Elephas maximus indicus: one gene and its partners. The protein of the gene in region 2 interacts with the protein of the main gene of each other region in a pairwise test. Links are inferred from orthologs where the notes say so. Each region holds a gene or a part of one and is shown on either strand. Other genes may lie near its edges.

Region 1 (7,478 bases), on a different chromosome or scaffold from region 2:
GTATTTTTTTAAGGCACATTTACCTAAGTATGGCAGAATTTGAAGGTCAGACTCAAAAATGGGCAATACTGAGCTTCTTAATCTTTGCTGGGGGCACGCATTAAGTTCTAACCTAAGAGAGACCAATATCTTCCCAAAACAGACTTATGCAGGAACATGGAAATATACGTGAAGATAAAATATACTTGCCATTCTCAGCTCACCGTGTGAAAGTGATTCAGGAAACTGTCTGCCTAGACTTCGGGAGTTCACTACCAGTCAGAACATCAATTCAAAAAGAGCTGTGAGATGTGAAACCACCTAAGCTTATAAAAGCAATTTAAACCAGTTTCTCTTCATCTGATAAGCTTTTCCCCATTCAGAATTCACCTGGCAACATTTTAGGTAATGAACTTAAGTTCTGAAACACTACTCAAGCACTCAGGTTTGAAATTACATTTGAAAGAACAAATCTGAATGCAGGACTAAAACGGAATTTTAAAAGCTTTCTAAAAGGATATTTTAACTCAAATTCTGTTATGCCAAAACAGATTGTGCTAAGGCAGCTATTAACCAGGAAATGTTTTATATCCCAAAACACTTTTTAACATGGATGGGCCCAGTTTTTTTTGTTTTAATGTTAAAAACGAGTATTACTCTGACAGTCATTTGATATTTTCTTCAATAGATAATAGTGGCACTGGTACACAAACAGGTCTGGCCTTAAAACAGTAACCAAGGAGTATCCTTGGAAGCCAGGGACAATAAGCCATGTTAAGAGTCCACAAATGAGTCCATGCTAAGGAAACATCACAGATCTAGACCCGAAAAGAACATCCTTCCCATCAACGGTCCCATCTGCTCTAACACTTGTCAGCACATTTTATGGACTCCAGCCCATGACAGGGACCCAGAAATGAAGTCACAGCTTCACTGTGTCTTTTCATCCTCTTTAAAAACATTCAGTAGCCAATGAGATAGTGAAACAACACTGTCAATAAATATCGCACCTTAATGTTTTCTTTCCCTCCTGGAAAAAGCAGATGTCTAGGCATGCAGTTTTTTAAAGTCACCCCAAGTTTTTAGCTAGGGGAAATAGGATTGAAGTCAGTTTTATCAGTCCATAACCAATTTGTAACAGGAAGTAAAATTAGCAGAACTTAGAAATCTGGTTACCCTGGCCAAGCACACTAAAGAGCATTTCTTTGGGGAGGTCAACTCTCAAGGAAACATCAACACAGAGAACACTGATTTGGGGAGGCATTAGAGCTGGGATTCTCACCATACAAGTAAGAATCATACTAGTTACACAGATGAATTACAGAACTTGCGTGACAAAGTATACCACCACCACCCGTTGCCATCAAGTCGATTCTGACTCATAGCGACCCTATAGAACAGAATAGACCTGCCCCACAGCGTTTCCCTGGAGCACCTGGCAGATTCGAACTGTCGACCCTTTGGTTAGCAGCTGTAGCACTCAGCCACTATGCCACCAGGGTTTCCTGACAAAGTATAACCAAAAAACCAAACCAAACCCAGTGCCGTCAAGTCAATTCCAACTCATAGCAACAGCAGAACTGCCCCATAGAGTTTCCAAGGTGCGCCTGGCGGATTTGAACTGCCAACCCGTTGGTTAGCAGCTGTAGTGGTTAACCACTATGCCACCAGGGTTTCCTGACAAAGTATACCCACTGCCGCAAAGTATAGGAATCCATAAATTCATATGAGATCTGAACTCATGTTCCCTTCACCTGAAAGCTACTTAGAAGCAATTTTTTAAAACTCTTGGTAGTCATAATTCCAGGAAAATGTTCAAAGCGATGCTTTACTAAACCTAGTCATTATTTAGTCCGTACAGTGGATCGGAATAAGACCACTACCACTTCAGATGATGCTAATAAATGCCTACACAATGTTACTAACCTCCTGGCCTACAAAGCAACACTATTTCATTAGTATCAAAGCCTACTTTTGTATAGCGATGGGGGGATTTGGAGGGCGGCAGCTTCTTCGGGTCAAGGAAAGCATCTCCATTTTCTGTTTCACCCACACTTCTCCTATCCATGGCTCCTCGGTCTACAATTCTTTGCACCTGGAAAATAAGCCAGCACAAAATTGTCGCCGAGAATATTATGTTTTCTTAAGTCTTGACTATTTAAGAATTGAAACTTTTTTATCTCTTAAGAAGGGAGGTTTTAAAAGCAAACCTTCACTAAAAAAAAAGAAAAATATCCTCACCCAACAATTACGCTATAAACCAGAACCCACTTGGAAACAGAACCACTGGTGCTCGGTTACCGCTCCCAGTAAAGTATCCCAAGCACCAACAGTGTAAGGAAAGCAGAGGTAGAAGGTGCCCAACTCAGGGTACAGTCTTTAAACAGCTTCAATACAAAAAGAAACCAAGATTAGTCGCTGCCACCCATGGGGACCATTTGAATGGTGGTGGGGGAAATACCCCGGAGGGGGCAGGTAGGAGGCTGGCTAAGGCAGGGGATCCGGGAACTCGGGCTGTTGTAAAGTGCCTGTCACTTGCCAATGGACGGCGCCAGCTGCCCTTTATAAGCCGACAACCAGGGACTGGGGACAGGGCCCGAGCGCCCCTCGCCGGGGCCGGCCGCACCTGTGGCCATGTCAGGGGCGCCCAGAGCAGAGAAGGGACAAGCGTCGATTTCCCGGGCCGCGACCCCCCAACCCCTGTTCCTTGGCTTAGGCCCCGGCCGGGTGGCCTCCTCCGGAGGAAAGGCGAGGACGGTACTCACGGAGAGGAGGCGGGCCGAAGGGAGCGGGGAGGCCGAGTACCCCGGCCTGGGCGCTCCAAGCTGGAGCCGGCGCAGGCCCGCCGCCGTCCGCCCCGGCCCGGCCCGGCGGCTCGGGCCCCGCCAGCCCGCCCGCTGCCCGCCGGCCGCCCGGCTTGGCCTCGCGCCCCTGCCCGCCCCCCGCGCGCGTCCCGGCGCCCGAGCTCATGCACGCGACCCCGGGAGCGGCGCGCCCGCGTCCTTCCCCCGGTGGGCCGAGCGCGCGCCCCGGGACCGCCGCCGGCCCTTACTCGGCTCCTCCGTCGCTCGGCGGCCCTCCGGCCGGCCGCCGCTTCCTGCCCCACCGCCCGCGCGGGTCTGAGCGCTGCGCCCGCGGCCTCGGCTCGGCCCCCCCACCCGCCCGGGCTGTCTCTCCTCAGCCGCCGTAACCGCGGCCCGGCCCTCCGCCCTCCGCCCTCCGCCCCCCGCCCCGTCCCCCTCCCCCTTAGTAACTCCCTCCACGCCCGGGCCCGGCGCCGCCGTCGCGCCCGGATGTGAGGTGGCCGCCACGCTGCCGGGCGGAAAACAGCGGGTCGCGGCGCGCTCCTGGGCGCCGGGCCTCGAGCGGGCCGCCGGCAGGGACGGGGCGCCTGGGCGGCGGCGGCGGGGCGGCGGGGCGGCGGGGCGGCGGGGCGGCGGGGCGGCAGCCCCCCTCCGGGCGCGCAGGCGGTCGCCGCGGGCAGCCCCAGCCAGCCAGCCGTGTTCCCACGCGCGGGGGGGGCGGCGCGGGGCCTGCGATGCCAGCCGCCTGGTGTCCCCGGACGGCGGTGGCCGCGAGGTGGGCCCGGTGCAGCCTGGCGCGGCCGCCCCTCGTTAGCACGCTCGTCTGGGCGGAGGACCTGAGGCTTCGGCAGTGGGCATCTGAGTTAGACGAATTCGGGGGTTTGGGGATCTTCCATGCCCGAGCTCGAACCTCTGGTCTTTTTAATACTAGTGGTGTGATTTGCGCAAAGCTCTGACTTATCCGAGCTTCACTTTTCTCTTTTCTGAAAATGACCTCTTTATAAAGAGGATTTGGGGAGATCACGCGTTGCTGCATTAATAACCAAATTTGCTACGACTGATTTTGATCGAGATAAGGGCGACTGACAATTTTTTTGAAATATATTTTCCCACCCATAACCTGCACAGGGAGAGGAAGTGCAAGTGTGGTTTGGGGAAAATGAGACGGTGAAGGTCAAGTGCTCAGCACGTGTTGCCGAGACTTAGGCTGACGGGGCACAGAAATTGAAATAGAAGTTCCCTATTTGGAGCAGTGCAAGCAACTGCCTTGCTGGGAAGGAGTGGTCAGAGGTTTGACAGACGAGGTCACATCTGAGCCTGGCCTACAGCAATATAATATGAGATGATGCATAGGCGTGGAGGGAAATGTGATTTTTCACGTGAAAGGGCAACGAAGCCTTCATTTCTTTGAAGGGGCCTATTTTCTTTGAGCTTCACTTTCTTCACTTGTGAAATCGGGATTGGAGTATGAGATGAGTTACCACTCATCTTTTCCTCTCTGACAGTTTGTAACAACCTGTGAGACTTGGCAAGAGGAAACAATATTGAAAACGTTTTTCTTTTCTTCCTGTAATATTTAATAAAATGTGTTTCCTACAAATTTTCTTCACGGAGTCAAAAGAGAAAAACATTTCCAAGTAGACATCCAAGCTCTGCCACCCCCTACAGGCAGTGGAAAGTAACCAACCAAAAACCTCATACAGTTTCCAAGGCTGTAAATCTTTATGGAAGCTGAAGGCCACGTCTTTTCTGCTTCTGGTTAGCAGCCGAGCGCTTTAACTACTGCACCACCATGGCTCCTTGGGGAAAGTTAGGCAACTTATTTATTCTCAGCCTTGGTTTTCTCATCCATAAAACTGAGAGGATGATAATCCACTGTCCTGGCAGTTGTCAAGATTAAATAAGGTGAGTTAAAAGCCTTATACAACTTCCATAAAGCTTTTTTTTTTTTTAAACCTTATACACAATACAGCACAAACAATGGTCTTTTTTATTCATTACAAATCAAGCCTGCTTTGGAATCCAGGTTCTTCCTAAAGGTAGAAGAAACGGGTCTAATCCCCTTGCCATTATGAAGTAGTGGAGAAGGCCCATTCTTTGAGCTATTAAATCCTGGCTCTGCTACTTATTAGTTCAGTGTGAAACCTCAGTCGTTTCACCCCTCTGGAATTTGGTTTTCTCATCTGTCAAACAGGGATGACCATACCTGCTTTTAGGCTTGTAGAGGAAATTAAGATAACATGTTACAAACATTGTTTCAGTTATCTATTGTTGTATAACAAACCACCCCCGAAAATTTAGTGACTTAAACCACCATTTATTTTGCTCATGAATGCAATCTGGGCAGGGTTCAGATGTGGCAGCTCAAACGCTCGAAGCTAGATTCATGTGATGGCTCGCTTACATGCTTTGGCTTTCAGATGGGACCATGGGGGCTATTGGCTGGAACACTAGATATGGCCACTCCATTGTGACACAAGCTGATGGCTGCATTCAAAGGGCAAGTGTCCAGAGAGGAGAGAGCCAGATGCTGTACTGCCTTTTCTAACCTAGCCTTGAAAGTCACTAAGTGTCAGTTCTGTCACATGGCACATTCTCTTCCTTAGATGGGAATCGCTAAGACTGGCCTATATTTAAGGGGAGTAGAATTAAATTCAAAGAATTTGTGCACCTGTTTTAAAACTACCACAAATCATGAATGAAATAAGTTTGCAGCGCATCACAGCTATGATTCTGGTCTGGCTGGAGATAATTTCCTGCACTGCAGGCACGTGTGTGTGTCTGTATTCACAAGAGCCCTGGCAGTGCAGTGGTTAAAGTGCTTGGCTGCTATCCGAAAGGTCATCAGTTTGACCCCACCAGCTGCTCCTCGGGAGAAAGACACCGACCGACCCGCAGTCTGCTTCTGTAAAAACTACAGCTTTTGACACCTTACGGGGCAGTTCTACTGCCCTATAGGGTCGCTATGAGTTGGAACTGACTCGATAGCAATGAGTTTGATTTGGGGTCTATGCTAGCTAAGACCTGCTCTTCCACCAGTCTCTTCTTTATGCCTGTAGGACTCTGGCCTCATCTCACTTACCTCTCAAAATCTCTATCGTTGTAAAAAAAAAAAAAAGCAATTATCACCTCGGAATAAATGTGATAATTTACTAAGGGAGTCCATCTATAAACTTTTACCTGTGCACCATGCAAAAGGTAGATGCTTGCAAATCCTTGTTTCATTGTAGCTATTGAATGTTATTCTTGGCAGGGATAATTTGTAATTCTAAATGCTGCCTTTTGCAACTAATAATCAATTTTCAAATTACAGTATGATGAAATCCTTCTGAAAGGGTAAGAGGAACAGAGAGATGATTTATCCTGGTTCTGTACTAAACATGTGTTAAGATACTGACTTAGGTTTGAATTGTTAGTTCAACGATTGGCATAAGGGGACTCAAAGGTTCAGTCATTTGGGGGAAATGAGCAGCCCATTAGAGAAGCAAATTAAAATATCGGAAACTTAGAAATTACAAGAGCACCTGTGAGAGTGCTTAACGCTGGGCCATTACCCTCAGCACCCTCATTTCATTTCGCAAAGCTAACACCTCAACTGTCCTGAGCTTCTCTAAATTGGCTGTTTCTTACTCGGTTTTTCTTGCTCTAAGGATAATTCCTGTTTGAAGAAGCCAGCTGTGGAATTATAGCCTCAGAGTATGGACTGAAAAGACATTAGAATTTACTAAAGGACTTCTGGAAGATTACACAGCAAATTTATTGGCGGAAACTAGACCCCTTCTGGCACCTTCATCTTTGATTTTATATATAGAGAAGTACTTAATACAAAGTCTGACACCAAGTAAGTGCTGCTGTACTAGCGATTGTTATTATAAACTATCTTCCTATCTTCTAATCTTTCCTGGCAGGACTATTTTCATTATAACTTATGGGGAAATGTCTTTCATTCCTTCCTAAATGAGTCAAAGCTGAGGGTGGTGAATGCTCATAACAGGAAGAAAGTATCAGCAAATCAGCTAAAATCACCTAGAAAGCATGCTTGTTGATTATCCCAAATTACATAACTAATATGGGTTTTTTGTTTTCTGGGATATGTTATTGTATAACTTATATAACTGTGATTTGTATAAAAGAGCATATAAGAAAAACTAACTTTACAGTGTTGATAAGGAGGACTTTGAAACCAAATTAAATTTTAAAACTCTACTTGGCCATGTAATTCCTGATAAGAATCCTCCCTAAAAAGATGGCTCCCTAAAGTCTCCATTTAAACACTTCCTTTTAAATTACAAAGATTAATATACGTAGAAGATAGAGCAAAAGAACGAATTACCTGAGATTCTAATCCCGATACCCAACAATTATATTGCCTCATCTGTTTTTAACATAGTCTCTCAAGCATTCTGATGCATAACGGTAGACTTTGCTCTCTCCACCAGAAATGCCACGTTCTTTCAAAATGATGTTTATCAAAATGTCCCACCTACGTCCATCATCCCTTAGATTATCAAAGCAGACCCAAATTAAAGAACGTATTTACATCCCGAACGATTACCCACCCACTGCCTTCGAGTCCATTCCGACTCATAGCGACCCTACAGGACGGAGTAGAACTGCCCCCATAGTTTCCAAGGAGCGCCTGGTGGATTCGAACTGCCGACCTTTTGGCTAGCAGCCGTAGTGCTTACAAATTAC
Region 2 (8,134 bases):
AGACCATCAGAAAGATAAAGCTGTGTCTCCCAAGGGTCCTCTTGCCCTCAACCTTTAAGCTCAGAAGCCTGACTTGCTCACATCCCACAACTGACCCCTTCTCTTGGGCAATTCATAGATCCCAAGCCAAGATGCTGGAGTATTAATTTACAATGAGAATACTAACTGAGCGGTGGGGGGCATGGCTTCAGTGTGGTTGCTTAGTGTTAAAACAAACTTCTCAGATGGATTAACTATGACCACAACTTGCAGCTAATTTCAGCCTTGCAGCAAGAGAACCAGCAAAAAGGGACGAGCCAGTTCTGAATGTATTCCGAGGGCTGGGACCTACATAATTCAATGCTTTTAAGGAAGACGGCTTCACTCCTTAGGACTGTTCAGCCATCGTGTCTTTGTCACCTGTGTAGGCCATACCTGGGTCTTGGGCAGGCGTCTTTGCCTTCACCCAGAGTGGCCAGGTGCTGTCCATTAATCAGGAATAATGAGCAAAGCAGCCGTGGCTTTTAATCAGCCCCAATCCCTCCAGAGTGTCAGATGGACACCAATTAGCTGAGGTGCTAAGCAACAAAATTCTGCCTTTCCAAACAGAACATCAGAAAGCTCTCAGTCCATTATCAGCAGTGCTGGCCCCAGCGTCTTGCCCTTTCTCAGGTGTGTGTTGATCTTTTCTTGCTCCCAGGTGAGCCTGGGGCTGCTTCCGGGATTGGAACCCTTGGAGGCTGTAACTCTGCCACCTAGAGAGGATTTAAAAGTTCATTTTTTTAATCTAAACTTCCTTGGCCACAACCACTCCCCATTCCATGGCTAACAGCCACATTCTTTCTTGAGTCATCCATGCATAGGTGACTCAAACCTAAGCCTTTGAGACAGAAGAAAAGACCCCTCCCCACCCCTGGCAGACAATTGAGGACAAAGTACCCCAGCCAGGAACATTTCTGCTCCCATTCACACCTATGCTGAGCACTTCCAGGCAAAGTATGCTTAACCTGCCCTGCTGTGTGCTGTGGCACTCAAAATTTTCTTTTAGAAAAAAATAGCATGGAAAAAAAAATCCAGACCCATTGCTGAGTCAATTCCAACTCATAGCGACCCTATAGGACAAGGTTTCCAGCATGAGGGCATTGTAAATTAGAAACCCTGGTGGTGTAGCGGTTACGTGCTATGGCTACTGACCAAAAGGTTGGCAGTTCGAATCCACCAGGCGCTCCTTGAAAAGTCTATGGGGCAGTTCTACTCTGTCCTGTAGGGTCACTCTGAGTCAGAATGGAATCGATGGCAGTGGGTTCGGTTCGGTTACATAGTAAATTAAAAAAAAAAAGAGTCCTCAGGCCATCCCCTGACTTCTCCTAGGGTCTTGAGTTTCCTACCAGAAACTTTCAATGCCTCCAAGTCTATGTGCATTTTTTCTTTTAAACACAAATATGTGTACCTTCTAATCTACCCTCTGTTATGAAAGTTCTTTTTTCACTTAACAAAAGACCTTGGCAGTCTGTTCCTGATCAGCACCTGGGAGTCTTCCTTGTTCTTTGTAAGGGCTACCTAGTGTTCCAGGATTATTTAACCAACCCCCTTCTGTGAGGCATTTAAGTTGTTTCTGGGCCTTTGCTGTGTATGTTGGGTTAAAGTTTAGTTCTCAAGTGGCCAATCTTGTTCCCTCATTTCCAGGTTCCCAAGAACATCCTACAGCAGCCTCAGAACATGCTCAGTTCCCTCTGGCCTGAAAAATCAAAGTCCATGCCCCCCAACCTCCCTCTTGCTGCTGCCCTATTTTGCTTCTTTTTATAACCAGAACTCTTTATTTTTCTCAAATAAAGCTAGTCCTTTTCCAGTTATAAAAATGGAAACCATTCATTGGGACACACTCAAATGATATAGAAAAAGTACAAAGAAAGTAAAAATCACCTGCCATCGCCCCTTTTTGGCTAGTGTGCTTCCAGGCACCATCTGCACATGAACAGCCATAGGCAATGTTATGTAAATTGTATCACTCCACCCACATGTGTCTGTCATCTGCCCCCCCCCTCCAAATACATCAGGAAACACAAAGATTTTTGTTAGAAGAGCTGGCTACGCTTCCAGACTCCATTCCTAAACTTCACAACCCAGAGACATGTGCTTGAGCCTCTACTGTACAACAGAAACCATTCTATGCTAACCTTCCTGTAGCTAAGCCTGAGGTTTGGGACCTTTCTTGAAGTCATCTGGCCAACTAAAAGATGAGAGAACCCCTGACCAGAGGTAGGAGCTCTATGTTGTGGCCTAGGCTCCCCTTCCAGGGGACCAGCTTGTTGGGCCTCTCAGGTGTATGTGACAGCACTGACCACCTCCTTCATGAGACATTCCCTTTAGTTTCTCTGATATTGTGCACACCCAGTGTCCACTAGTTCAGCCACTCTCCAGCTTCCTTCTCAGGCTACTCTACCTCTCATTTGTTCTTCAAAAGCTAGTGTTCCTCAGCCTTGTCCTAGACTCAGCTTTTCTTGTCCTCTGTGGTCTCTCTGGGTGATCTCCATCTCACTGCCTGTGACTCCAAATTCCCTATCTCCAGCCCACATCTTTCTAGAGACTCATACCTAGTTATCTCCCACCCCTCCTGTACCTCACACTCTTTAACTTGTCAACTCCCTGGAGCTGGTCCTTTTCTTCTGTTCTCTGCCTCATGGGAGGGTATTCTCATCCACCCAATCTACCAGGTCGTGTCCTACTTCCTGCCTCTATGGGAGCTGTGGGACTTCTCTACCTGGGCCTTATCCTGGACTCTCACATTGGTCTCCAGTCTTGGCCTCTCCAGCCACAACTAGAGGACCTCATCAAGCCTCCAGCTCTGAACCTGAAGTTCCCTCCCCTCCCCAGGAATCCCTGGGGATGCGAACAGTTAAGAGCTTGACTTCTAACTGAAAGGCTGGCAGTTCAAAAACCACTTAGAGGTGCCTCAGGAGAAAGGTCTGGAAATCTGCTTCCAAAAGGTCAGTCTTGAAAACCTGATGAAGTGCAGTCCTAGTCCGCACACATGGGATCATCTCAGTGGCAGCAGGGTTCTTCCCCCATGAGCCTAGGTTCCAGAAACTTTCCAACCCAGCCTCCTGCCATTGCTCTGCCTATTTGAGAGTGTAGGTGTGTGTGTGTGCAGCGGGGTTCTTGGGCAATAACCATTGCTCCAGCATTTTACTGAGGAAAAACGAAATCGTCAGAAAATAGCTTTTCAGTGTAGAAAGGCTTTTCTAATGATTCAGACCATTTCATCTGCGCTACCCCTGCTCACCACGAGGCCAACCATATTGGGGTGCTCAGGTCTGGAGTTAGATACTACCTGGATTTAAAGAACTGCTCTGCTAGTTGCCAACTGTATGATCTTAGAGACACTACTTAAGCCCTGTGCCTCGGTACTGTAGTCTTTATAATGGACGATAATGATAGTACCTACTTCATTGAGAGGATTCAATGAGGTGATGCATGCCACGTACATACTAAGTACTTTAGAAATGTTATAGATGGTTACAGTTGAGAGAACTGAGGCTCTCCAAGGGGAAGTGAGAAGTTTTCGTCCTAATATAGACACTGCAGGTACCTAGTATAAATCACAGGTAGAGTGCCACCCTCCATTTTTCCATGAATTATGCTCTGAGAGTAATTGTGTAAATCTGACATTGGGGCCTCCCCAGACCCAAGGTCTGTGTCCTCTAAGGCAGCTCTCAGGCTGTAAAAGGTCCTGGCCTAGGAACCAGAGACTGGGGCTGCTGCAGATTCTTTCTTCACTAACCTTGGGCAGGCTACTCCCCCCTTCTGGGCTTCAGTTTCCTCTTTTATAAAATGAAGCTTTTAAGCTGAATGAGAGGCAAGGTTTCTTCCTCCTTCTCCAGCAGTCTGAATCTGTGTTAAATTCCTGATAAGGTAGGAGTACATTAGGTCATGTAAAGATACTTAACTGCATGTAGCCAGCCCAAGATTCCAAAGACCCTGCGTTTCCTGAAAGGGCTTGCGAAATGGTCTATGGATGTAAACATTCACATTTGAGCTTTTTTCTGAGAGTCGCTTTCTTTAGTTTTTCAAAGGAGGTGTGTGATCTCAAGAGATTAAGCCACCAGCCTGGTTTCAGGCCTTATTATCTTCTGTCAGGACTATGGCAATAGCCTCTGGTCTCCCCACCTCCTTTCTCCTCCTCGCCAATAGATCCTCCGCTTACCACACAGGGCATCTTTCTAAACTGCACTGCTGACCCTTTCATTCCCGATTAAATATTTCCATTGGCTCCAGTTGCCCAAATTCCTTGCATGACTTTTAAAGTCCATCATGATCTTACTCAGCCCTCTCTCCATATTCATAGCCTGCCACACTTAACCCATTGTCTCCTTCCTCCCCCTCCTCTCCAGCCCTCTGCTTTTACCTTAGGGCCACAGGGAACTTTGAAACTTTTCACTGGTTCCTGAATGTGTCAAGAACTTTCATATCTCTCTTCCTTTGCACATCAAAATCCACCTACTTCAAAATCCACCTCAGAGGTCATCTCCTTTGTGAATCTTCGTGACTACCAACCCCCACCCAAAGTTAGGCACACCTCTTTCTGGCTTCCACTTCTTTATCACAGCATTTATCGCCCTAGATTGTAGTTGTGTGTTTAAGTGTCTGTCTCTCCAACAAGATAGGAAGTTCTCCCAGGAGAGAAACGAACTTTGACCATTTAACCTCCAATATTTTTTTTTTAGTCAGCACAGGGCCTGGCATCATATAGTACTGGTAAAAAACAAAACAAATTCTTTCGAACGAGTCAGTGAATTAAAGAAGTCACAAGTGAATAGGTGAAGAGTGAGTTTAGACCTGCACAGGTGCGAATTGCTTTCATCCCTGTGCCCGCTGTCCCGCCGGAACTACATTTCCCAGAAGACCGCGCGTCGTGGGCATGCGTACAGAGCGCTCGGAAGCTGCGACGCCGAGTTTCACTCTAGCTGTCTCCTCAGAGTCGGATCCTTAACTGGAGTGCTGCCCAGGTGAAGCCGGAGTCCCAGCGCGAGCGCCAGCGTTCCCCTCAACCTGTCCTCCTCTCCCGCCTCAGCTTTGGTGAGAGGGACGGGCAGGTCGTCTGCCCGTCGCCTGGGTTGGGGTCCCAGGGGCGGGGGGAGACTGAGCCGAGCTGGGACCGGAAGGGGGAGGCGTGGGAGTGAGGAAGGGCTGTGCTGGGGTCCCGGAGCCCTGGGGGTGAGGGTCTGGGGCTGGGAGGACTGGCCTCCGGGCTGGGGGTCCCAGAGGCGGAAGTTGGGGGAACTGGGAGGCGCTAGGGGCTTAGGACAGGACTGGGTGCCGGGGAGGAGGGTGAACGCTTAGTTAGAAGCTGAAAGGCTGCAGGGGGAGGGGCACAGACCCTAAGAGTTGGAGTCCGTCGGGAGACGTGCGCCCTTTTCCGCTAGGACCTGGAGGAGGTGGTGGCATTGCCACCGGGCTACCTGATTAGGGTATGAGGTCTGCCGCCAGGTGAAGGACTAACTGGGACCCGGGGTTGTGCTTTGGAAGACTTTACTTCGTAACTCAGTTTCCCTCCTCTCAAGTGGGGTTCTCTTTCCCGGAAGCTGTTTCCTGGTCGCTTTTGGGTGATCTGTAAACTATGCTGAAGAGGATTTAAAAGACTCTTCCTTTTTCTGGAGCTATTCTTTTTCATCCTTCCTTTCTCTGTCTGCTGCTGCCTTCCACACAGGTTCCACTTCCCTTAGCGCCCACAGCTGTAGACATAGGGTGTGTACAGACTCTTGGACCATGAATTAAAAGAAAACTCAAAATATTTCTGCATGCTATCCTAGCCCCTCTAGAATTCTGGAAAGTAGAATTTCTGGTAGCCAAAATCAGGCCTTACTTGAGCCATCAGGTTAAGTAAGCCTCTTATTCATTTGCTTTGTGACCATGGCCAAACTTTTACCATCTGGTGTGTTGACTTCCTGGATGTCTGCACTGTAGACGGGGTTATGAAATCCTTTTAGGCCTTCTAAGCAAGGGCTGGAAACCCTGGTGGCGTAGTGGTTAAAAGCTACGCCTGCTAACCAAAAGGTCTGCAGTTTGAATCTACCAGGTGCTCCTTGGAAACTCTGTAAGGCAGTTCTACTCTGTCCTGTAGGTAGGGTCGCTATGAATCGGAATCAACTCGACGGCAGTGGGTTTGGTCCTCGTTTATTCAAGGGCTCAGAAACCCTGGTGGTGTAGTGGTTAAGAGCTACGGCTGCTAACCAAAAAGTCATCAGTTTGAGTTCACCAGGCACTCCTTGGAAACTATGGGGCAGTTCTCCTCTGTTGTGTAGGGTCGCTGTGAGTTGGAATCGACTCGATGGCAACAGTTTTTTTTTTTTTTTTTTTGGTTGGATACAAGCAGGTATAAAAGCGTGTGTGTGTGTGTGTGTGTATTGAACTATGCCCTTGACTGTTGAGTGGGTGGAGGGAGACTACTGTACCTTCTTGCTCTGCCCAGGCTGAGTTGGGAAATCTGATGGTTTGTCCTTTTCCCGAGCTGCAGCACACGGATCCAGCATCTGTGCGTTCGTTTTCACTAACTGCTGTTTCTCAATTTAAAACCTGATCTCTCCTTTCTTACCGGCAAAGGTGCCTTGGAATGTGTGTCGCAGAGTCAGCAAGCCTTTCACATTTGCCTGTTTTTTGTTGTTTGCTTTTTATATCAAGATGGGAACTCAAACAAGTTATTCCTGCTAACGATCTGGTGTCTCCATCAAGAAGGGAGTTTGTGCCAGCTCTCCTTAGAGAAAAGGTGAGAGCCATGGCGACTTCATTTTGCTGCCTTCACAATTTCATTTTCAACAGAGAAGGTAGGGACTGAAGAGGGTGGAATTTGAGGGCTCCAGGATGAAAAGTGAGCCTTGGGAAGTTGATTGTTGATTGCCAGCTGACTCAGATAAATTAAAGTGGCTTCTTGCTAATTGCTTCTCCAGTTTAGCCAGTCTTAGAGGATGCTTTCCACATGATTTCCACTTTAAGACATACTTAATGGGATGAAGGACGGAATCACGATTTCTATATTTGAACTGGAAAATTTTCTTTGTCACATAACCTTTAGTGGGTGCCTCCTTTCTATCAAGCCATGTTCTCAGTGCTGGGGGTACAATGATGAGAAACAAGATCTCTGCCCTGTGGGAGCTCATTGTTGGGTGGAAGAGATAGACAAACGACAGCCACAACAGTGTTGTCAGTGTGATACCTGTTGAGGTGCAGGGGAAGCACCAGGCAGAGGCCTCAGATTGATCCAGGAAGGGAAGAGGGAGAAGAGAGAGCCAGGAAGACTTACTGTAGGGGCTGATAGCTGAGGTGGGTTGGGAAGGGGCAGTAGGATTTTGGAAGTGTGGAGAAACAGCGTGGCTGGGCTTCGGGGTAGACGAAGTCGTGAAATTGTTAGACACAGGCACTGTAAGAAGTGCAGTGTGGCTGGAACAACAAAGGGTGGGTGCAGGGCACAGGAAGCTGGAAAGGGAGGCAGGGGGCTGAATATGGAGGGTTTTGTAAGCCATGCCATTGCTCTGGGGAGCGAAAGGATTTTGAGCAGAACACGATGGGCGTTTTAAAAGAGCACCCTGGCTGGAAAGTGTGGCATACATTGGATTAGATTAATCTCTTTGCTTTTAAGCCTTGTGATTCCTTTTGCCATTCTTTCACCTATCTTCTTGACTATCTCCTTATACCATGCCAGCTTCTGGTAGTGGGAGGTAGACGTGAGGTTTTACCCTCAGGTTGCTATAGGCTAGTTGAAGAGATAAAATGGAGAAATGTAGAGGAAAGACAGTGCTGTGCAAGTTTTAAGGGGGTAGCTACTTTCTGTTGCACTCATCAAGGTGCTGTTTAAATTGGGTTTTGAAAGTATAGGTAAGTTGAGGCTGGGTTGTTAAGTAGATGGGATTCTGGGTAAAGCAGAGACGTGGAGGTGGGGAAATGCTGGAAGTATATGGGGGAGAAAGTTATCACTTAAATGCTTTTGGAGGGATTGGGGAAGGGAGGTGTAGATGAGAGAGGTTATTGAAGGGAAGTAACTCTGGCAAATATAGGTGGGTAGGGAGGGACCAGGTTATTATGGGCTTTGAATGTCAACCTAAGTAGTTTGAATTTTATTCTGGAGGTCCAGAGGGAGGTGTGGAAGAGGCAGGGCCAGTCA
Region 3 (7,970 bases), on a different chromosome or scaffold from region 2:
ACTGTCTTCTTAACAGATTTCATTATGCCCGTTGACCTAGATGTCCCCTGAAACCATGGTCCCCAAACCCCCGCCCCTGCTACGCTGGCCTTCGAAGTGTTCAGTTTATTCAGGAAACTGCTTTTGGTTTAGTCCAGTTGCCTAAGACATTTTTTAAATGCTGCTATGAGCGTTCTTATACCTGGTTTTTGGAACACATATGTATGGATTTCTGTTGCATATATAATTAGAAGTAGACTTTCTGGGTCATAGGTTATGTATGAGTCCTGGCTCTGCCACTTAACAACTGTATGACCTTGGGCAAATACCCATAATCTCTAGAGAATACCAGTTTCCTTGTCTGTACCAAGGAGCTAATCTTGCCTTCCTGAGTGTCAACTTGAAAAACTGTTTTTGTTAATTAACACAAGGACAGAGTGCTGAGAAACCTTATTTTCTAAAATCAGATTTTCAGAAAATTTGCTGTTGGAAATTATATAAGAATGGAACATTCTACTCTTGCTTTGAGAACCTGGGTTACTTTGACAGAGAGAAGCAGTTTCAATTTCCAACCCAGGTGCAGAGCTTCAGATAAGGGATTTCCAGATACAACATTCCACATTTATCTTCACATTGTAGTTTCCAAGGAAACAGGATTCCCAAGCCTTTGAGTTAGTTCAGGCCTGATGTCAATCCTATTATACATAGCCTGGGTGTGCTTTGAGGCTATCAAAATACTGCTTCTTTTACGTTTTACCTACCCTCCATCTTTCCCTCAAAGCCTAGAATAACTAACTCTGTCTCTTCCTGTGCTTGATGAGATGTTCCAGGATCCACTTGTTTTACAGTCTCCCTGGCTGCAGCAAGTTAATAAGCTTAATTTTGTCAGACCACAGATGGTCTTTACCTTGGGGATTAGCAATAATGTATGTAAAATGTGTGCACATTGCTTGGCGCCTAATAGGTATTTAAGAAATGGTAGTTATTTTTATTATTTATGTATGAGTTCAATAAATATTTGGCATGTATAAGGCACAAATTTACTGCTATGAAAGATGAACAGATGGAAACTACTTTTATTTCAAATGGAGGAAAAAAACAACTGTAACTTCAATTCCTAGGCGATAAATACCTTTACTGAACTTTACTTTGTTGTTGTTAGGTGCCGTGGAGTCAATTCCGACTCACAGCGACACTATGTACAACAGAAGGAAGACTGCCTAACCCTGCGCCATCCTCATGGTCGTTATGTTTGAGCCCATTGTTGCAGCTACTGTGTCAATTCATCTTGTTGAGGGTCTTCTGCTTTTTCGACGACCCTCTACTTTACCCTTCTCCAGGGACTAATCCCTCCTGATAACACATCCAAAGTATGTAAGACAAAGTCTTGTCATCCTTGCTTCTAAGGAGCATTCTGGCTGTACTCCTTCCGAGACAGACTTGTTTGTTCTTTTGGCAGTCCGTGGTATATTCAACATCCTTTGCCAAACCACAATTCAAAGGCATGGATTCTTCTCTGGTCTCCCTTATTCATCGTCCAGCTTTCGCATGCATATGAGGTGATTGAAAACACCATGCTTTGGGTCAGGAGCACCTTAGTCCTCAAAATGACATCTTTGCTTTTTTAACACTTGAAAGAGGTCTTTTGCAGCAGATTTATCCAGTGCAGTGATGTGTTGTTTGATTTCTTGAGTGCTGCTTCCAAGGCTGTTGATGGTGTATCCAAGTAAAATGAAATCCTTAGCAACGCCAATCTTTTCTCCATTTATCGTGATGCTGCTTATTGTTCAATTGTGAGGATTTTTGTTTTCTTTATATTGAGGTGTAAGTCATACTGAACACTGTAGTCTTTGATCTTCATCAGTAAGTACTTCAAGTCCTCTTCACTTTCAGCAAGCAAGGTTGTGTCATCTGCATAATGCAGGTTGTTAATGAGTCTCCAATCCTGATGCCCTGTTCCTCTTCATATAGTCCAGCTTCTTGGATTATTTGCTCAGCATACAGATTGAATAGGTATGGTGAAGGAATACAACCCTGATGCACACCTTTCCTGACTTTAAACCACACAGTATCCCCTTGTTCTGCTCCAAAGGCTGCCTCTTGGTCTATGTACAGGTTCCTCATGAGCACAATTAAGTGTTCTGGAATTCCCATTCTTTGCAACGTTATACATAATTTGTTATGATTCACACAGTCAAATGCCTTTGCATAGTCAATAAAACACAGGTAAACATCTTTCCAGTATTCTCTGCTTTCAGCCATGATCCATCTGACATCAGCAATGATACCCCTGGTTCCACGTCCTCTTCTGAATCTGGCTTGAATTTCTGGCAGTTCCCTGTTGATGTACTGCTGCAGCTGCTTTTGAATGATCTTCAGCAAAATTTTACTTGCATGTGATATTAATGATACTGTTCCATAATTTCTGCATTGGGTTGGATCATCTTTCTTGGCAATAGGCGTAAATATGGATCTCTTCCAGTTGGATGGCCAGGTAGCTGTCTTCCAAATTTCTTGAGATAGACAAGTGAGCACTTCCAGTGCTGCATCCGTTTGTTGAAACATCTCTGTTGGTATTCTGTCAATTCCTGGAGCCTTGTTTTTCACCAACGTCTTCAGTGCAGTTTGGACTTCTTCCTTCACTACCATCGGTTCTTGATCATATACCACCTCCTGAAATGATGAACGGCGACTAATTCTTTTTGGTACAGTGACTGTGTGTATTCCTTTCTTGTTCTTTTGATGGTTCCTGCATAGTTCAGTATTTTGCCCATAGAATCCTTCAATGCTGCAACTTGAGGCTTTAGTTTTTTCTTCGGTTCTTTCAGCTTGAGAAATGTCAAGCATGTTCTTCTCTTTTGGTCTTTGCACATGTCATTATAATACCTTACTTTGTCTTCTTGAGCTGCTCGTTAAAATCTCTTCAGTTCTTTGACTTCATCATTTCTTCCATTCACTTTAGCTACTCGATGTTCAAGAACAAGTTTCAGAGTCTTTTCTGATATCCATTTTGGTCTTTTCTTTCTTTCCTGTCTTTTCAGTGACCTCTTGCTTTCTTCATGCATGATGTCCCTGATGTCATGCCACAACTCGTCTGGTCTTTGGTCATTAGTGTTCAGTGCATCAAATCTATTCTTGAGATGCTCTCTAAATTCAGGTGGGATATACTCAAGGTGTATACGTTGACTCTCATGGACTTGTTCCAATTTTCTTCAGCTTCAGCTTAACTTGCATATGAACAATTGATGGTCTGTTCAGCAGTTGGCCCCTGGCCTTCTTCTGAGTGATGATATTGAGCTTTTCTGTCATCTCTTTCCACAGGTGTAGTTGATTTGATTCCTGTGTATTCCATCAGGCGGAGTCCACGTATATAGTCGCTGTTTATGTTGTTGAAAAAAGGTATTTGCAATGAAGAAGTCATTGGTCTTGCAAAATTCTATCATGTGATCTCTGGTATCATTTCCATTATTAAGATAGTACTTTTCAACTTTACTTTATACAGTGTCAAATGTAATGAAAATGTAAATGAAAACATCCTCAACAGTATTTTATGAGTAAAACGTACAATTTATATAATTTTCTGTAAGACTTGACATGAAACTATGGATTGTAAGAAATGACAGGGTTTTAATAAAACAAGAGCCCCAAATGTCATGTCCTTTTCTATGAAGAAAGAAATGTTCTCATAAATGCACTAAAGAAAAAGAGAGTCTTGCTTATAATAGCTCTGAGCCTGAATGCAGGCTCATTTACCCATTTGGGGCCCCTTCCCACATATGTAAACACAGGGAAGCAGCTTCCTCTTTCTCTGCCGTTCCCCACAGACTGCACAGCAACCTAGGGCAGGGCTGCTGGAGAACACAGGAAAGCACACTACCAGCTCCCCTTCACTCCTCCAGTGTCTTGACTCCCTCCCAAATCAAAATCCTACCCATGCCTTTCCTTTCACTGACAAAATGCAGTCTTACTGGAACATTGAGGTCTTATTCTCCAAATTACTTAAGGGAATGATTTTTACATTTTGGGACTATAGTTCTCCAAGAAATCCCCGTCTGGGATACAGATGAAGAGGCTATTTGGGAGGGGTTTACATGGAGAATGAATTTGAGAATAAGGGGATAAACTTTAGGGCAATAGGTGATGATGGAGTTAGCTTAGTGTACAGATTTTGCAGTCAAACTTCAGTAAAGAGAATCTCTATGATCTTAATTTTCTCATCTGTAAAAAGGAAAATAATAATGCTTAGTTTGCCTGGTTACTTCAAGATTTTAAAAAATTTGTCCATTATCTATTCTGAAGATTAAAAATATAGATAGAACATCGTGACTTGCCGTGAAAAAACTTATCAACAAGTGAATTGCAGTGAGGATTCACACATAGTAGATGCTCAATAAATATTATTTTATTGTTTGGAATTACAAGAGGGGTGGAGGGAAAAATGAAAATCGTTTGTGAACCGTGAAAGTGCCCCGCAAATACTACCAAAGCCCTAGAGTTCAGAAGTGGAGCGAGCAATTTCAGGGGCTTGGTTTCGAGGTTATCGAATTTTCCCATATTTGGGCCTGAATTCTCAGAATAGAACATAAAAGGATGTCAGGGCTGAGATCATCTGGTACAATTTTATGCAAATCGAAAATTCTTGCCGCCTGTCACTGTGTCTTTGCAAGAAACAACACCGCCACCCAAGTAGCCGAGTCCCAATTATGTGACGTCAGGAGCCCGCATCCCCAAGTTTCCGCGCGTCTAGTCTAAACTCTCCCCAGGCTTTGGTTTCAGCGGCGCCCGCGCGCTGCGGGGCGGGGCGGGGCGGGGCAGGGCGGACGCGTGCGCGCTGCATGGGGGCGGAGCTAGTGCGCACGCAGCTTCAGCCCCTTCCACGCCCTTTCTGTGCCCGGTTTCCCCGTCAGGTTGCCGGTCCCGTCTGACAGCTGCTTCCGGTTGGAGCACCGCGCAGGGCGAGCCGGTCTCAGCTCCTTATCATGTCCTACGGCCCCTTACACATGTACCGGAACCCGGGGCCCTCAGGGCCCCCACTCCGGGACTTCAACAGCATCATCCAGACATGCAGCGGCAACATCCAGCGGATCAGCCAAGCCAGTGAGACAGGGGACTGGGCTGGGGGGCGGGGGCCGTCCCGGGACAGGCCTGGTGAGGCTGCCGGGACGCGGAACCCAACCGGCTCTGAGACCAAAGCCACACCTGAGGCTGTCTTGGACTCTCCACGCTGGGGCCGCCGGGCTGCCATCCCCTAATCTGTCAGGCCCGACTCCCCGAGGGTCCCGAGCCGCTGCTGAAGCTCGAGTTTCTTCTCAGGAGTTCTGTCGCCACGGTGCTGAGGCCTCAACAGCACAGCTAACAGCCCTAGGGTGGGGGTGTGTGTGTGTGTCCTGGAGAGCAGTGAATGCGTGGACTTGGCGCAGTGGTCAGCCGAGTTTTTCCTGTCACCCGCTTTCCCCCTACCCACCTCGCTTTCTTCTTGGGCCAGTTTGGATCGGAGGTTGTTTACTGATTTAGGCTTTAGGTTTACATTCTGCTCAGCCACTGGCTCCTAGGAAATCAGCAACTTTCAATTAAAGGAAGTGGAGAGTGTATGTTTTCGGGTGACTTATACATAATTCTTGTAAATGAGTTGAGGGATCAGATGTGATGATTAGTATTTGAGTGAGATGACTTCTGTTTTAATGAAGAGGATTCACCAAAAACGTTTCAATTTACATTATTATTATTTTTTCGTAACAAAGGATTTGGGTATATTTTTGGATTTCAAGCATATGAGGCTTTTGTTCTTCTTAATATTTAGCTACTCTTGAACAAATCTGATGCACAGAGAAGTCCAGGGACTTGGCGACAATCACATAGCAAGTAAGACTTGGTAGGTAGTGGTGAAATTCAGAATGTCATTGTTTGTCCTAAAACTCCCTCCTCACCATTAGGGTCTGAGTGAGGCTGTAGCTGAATGAGTCAAATACAACCTGTATCTTGGGCCTGAAAATCAGCTCAGAGCTTTGTAAACAGGAGGTGGGCAGCAGCAACTTTACTTGGAACAAATGGTGATCATTATCGTCGCTTATGATTGTGTTTTTTTGAGCTTGGCTGTACTCTGTTAATAGGTAGAACTAGTTGGTCCTGTACTACAATTTTGTTCTATATTTTGAAGAATAATCTATCACTTTGCTTTTCAATTTAAATGGTGATTGTGGAACTTGAGAGGCAGAAAGTTTCTGATGGGAAGGGATTGAGACTGGCTGATTTGGAAGTGGAAAGAAGAATATAATCCTGTTAAACCCAGAATTAAAAAAAAAAAAAAAGATTAATATGACCACTGGTTAGAAAGCTCCAATTTTCTCTTGTGAGGGAGCAGTAATGCAGGTTAGATCAGAAAATTCTGGTTCAAGGCAGAAAGCTGTTGTTGAGGCTAAATCGAATTTTAATGTCTGTGTATTTGTGAAATATTCATTCAACATATATTTGTTTGAGTATCAGGCTATATAGAAAATAGAGGAACCGAAACAAAATTCTTTCCCCAGGGAGCCTGTGCAGTTCATAAACAACTGTGAAAATGGCATGGGGGTGGTGTCTGACCTCCCCATCCAACTTCACAAGGCAGGGAGGAGATTCATTGTCAGCATCAACAGCTCACGGCTGATTCATGTAAGGTGGACGTCAGACATAACTCCTCTCCAACTTTTTACCAATTCTGACACCACCCCTCCCATGGCATTTTCTACTTCTCTGCTGAGTTTGATAATTCACTGCAATGGCCATACAGAACTCACAGTTACGGAGTTTATTAGGGAAGTAACAGGTTACAACTGAGGCTGAGGAACGCTCAGGATACAGCTGTTCGATCAGGACAGCCTCTTCTCGGTTGTGCAGCAGGCAGGCCTCTCTCTGGCCCATGGGCTCACCCCCCGGCCCGGGGCCTCTTGGGCTGGCCAGACCTCTGCCCTGCTTGGGCAAGCGTTACAAAGCTCTTTAGCTCTCCTGGTAAGTGCCCGGAGGCAACCAACTCGACTAGTAAGCCTCGGCTGAAGGCGTTCAGCTCTGGCTCCGTGGGTCAGCGAACCTAGCTCTACTGACAAGTGTCCGGAGCCACTCCAACCCACCAGCAAGCCTCTTACCTGAGGGTGCTCAGATTTCTCGCTCAGTGGGTCAACACACCCACAACATAGTCTCCTGCTGGCCTCCTGGTTCTGCTGCCTCTGCTGCCGCTGTTTCTATGCTGCCACCCTCTTCGGTGTTACAGCTCTGTCTCTTGGTCTCCTGGTTCTAGGAGGTTCCCAGTGCAGGGACCCAGCATCCAAAGGACACTCTCTGCTCCTGTCTCTTCTTGGTGGTAGTCAGATTCCCCCTCTGCTCTGGAATTGGCTCTCTTTTAAGCTTAGCAGGGTGGCAAAACTGACCAATCCCCTCATTAGTGTCCATACACCTTATTTGCATGGTCCTACCCAATCATTGGAGCCCTGGTGGTGCAGTGGTTAAGAGTTCGGCTGCTAACCAAAAGGTTAGCAGTTCAAATCCACCAGCTCTTCCTTGGAAACTCTATACTGGAGTTCTACTCTGTCCTAAAGAGTCACTATGAGTTAGAGTCAAGTCAATGGCAGTAGATTGGGGACCCAATCATTGTGTGGGAGTCACAAAGACTATGGCTAGAAGGGCCATATTAAGTACTTCACTGCACCACAACAACCAAAATGTAAGGTTGAAAGGAATCAGTGCTATAGAAGAGGTACAAATAACATTATGTGGGTATTCAGGAGAGGGAGACCATTTTCACTTGAGAGGAATCAGGGAAGGCATTTGAGCTTGGTTGGAAAGATGGTGGTAAGGGTTTGGATTTTTGAAGGTAAAGAGGAAAGAGTATTCCAGAAAGAGGGAATAAAATGAGGAACAGCATGGTAGTGGGAAGGCAGGGGGTGTATATAGAAAAGCAGAATAATTCAATATGGCTAGAGTGATGGACTCAGGAAAGCAGTGGAAAATAGGGTTGG

Evidence for each region.
Region 1: the proteins of DTX2 (region 2) and EIF4ENIF1 interact in binary tests that used the Homo sapiens proteins (3 or more experiments, as listed by UniProt). The two-hybrid records come from large-scale screens. The link is inferred for Elephas maximus indicus from reciprocal best matches to the Homo sapiens genes DTX2 and EIF4ENIF1.
Region 3: the proteins of DTX2 (region 2) and STX12 interact in binary tests that used the Homo sapiens proteins (3 or more experiments, as listed by UniProt). The two-hybrid records come from large-scale screens. The link is inferred for Elephas maximus indicus from reciprocal best matches to the Homo sapiens genes DTX2 and STX12.

What each region holds. Positions count from the first base shown.
Region 1 is NC_064840.1:24,716,412-24,723,889, reverse strand, and holds the start of EIF4ENIF1 (eukaryotic translation initiation factor 4E transporter), read right to left. Parts: upstream 3,129-7,478; 5' UTR 3,032-3,128; intron 2,837-3,031; exon of another isoform or gene 2,745-2,836; intron 2,075-2,744; 5' UTR 2,048-2,074; coding exon 1,952-2,047; intron 1-1,951. UniProt on the Homo sapiens protein: EIF4E-binding protein that regulates translation and stability of mRNAs in processing bodies (P-bodies). Plays a key role in P-bodies to coordinate the storage of translationally inactive mRNAs in the cytoplasm and prevent their degradation.
Region 2 is NC_064830.1:94,109,942-94,118,075, reverse strand, and holds the start of DTX2 (probable E3 ubiquitin-protein ligase DTX2), read left to right. Parts: upstream 1-4,920; 5' UTR 4,921-5,055; intron 5,056-5,317; exon of another isoform or gene 5,318-5,447; intron 5,448-6,657; exon of another isoform or gene 6,658-6,742; intron 6,743-8,134. UniProt on the Homo sapiens protein: Regulator of Notch signaling, a signaling pathway involved in cell-cell communications that regulates a broad spectrum of cell-fate determinations.
Region 3 is NC_064821.1:68,157,963-68,165,932, forward strand, and holds the start of STX12 (syntaxin-12), read left to right. Parts: upstream 1-4,842; 5' UTR 4,843-4,958; coding exon 4,959-5,076; intron 5,077-7,970. UniProt on the Homo sapiens protein: SNARE promoting fusion of transport vesicles with target membranes. Together with SNARE STX6, promotes movement of vesicles from endosomes to the cell membrane, and may therefore function in the endocytic recycling pathway.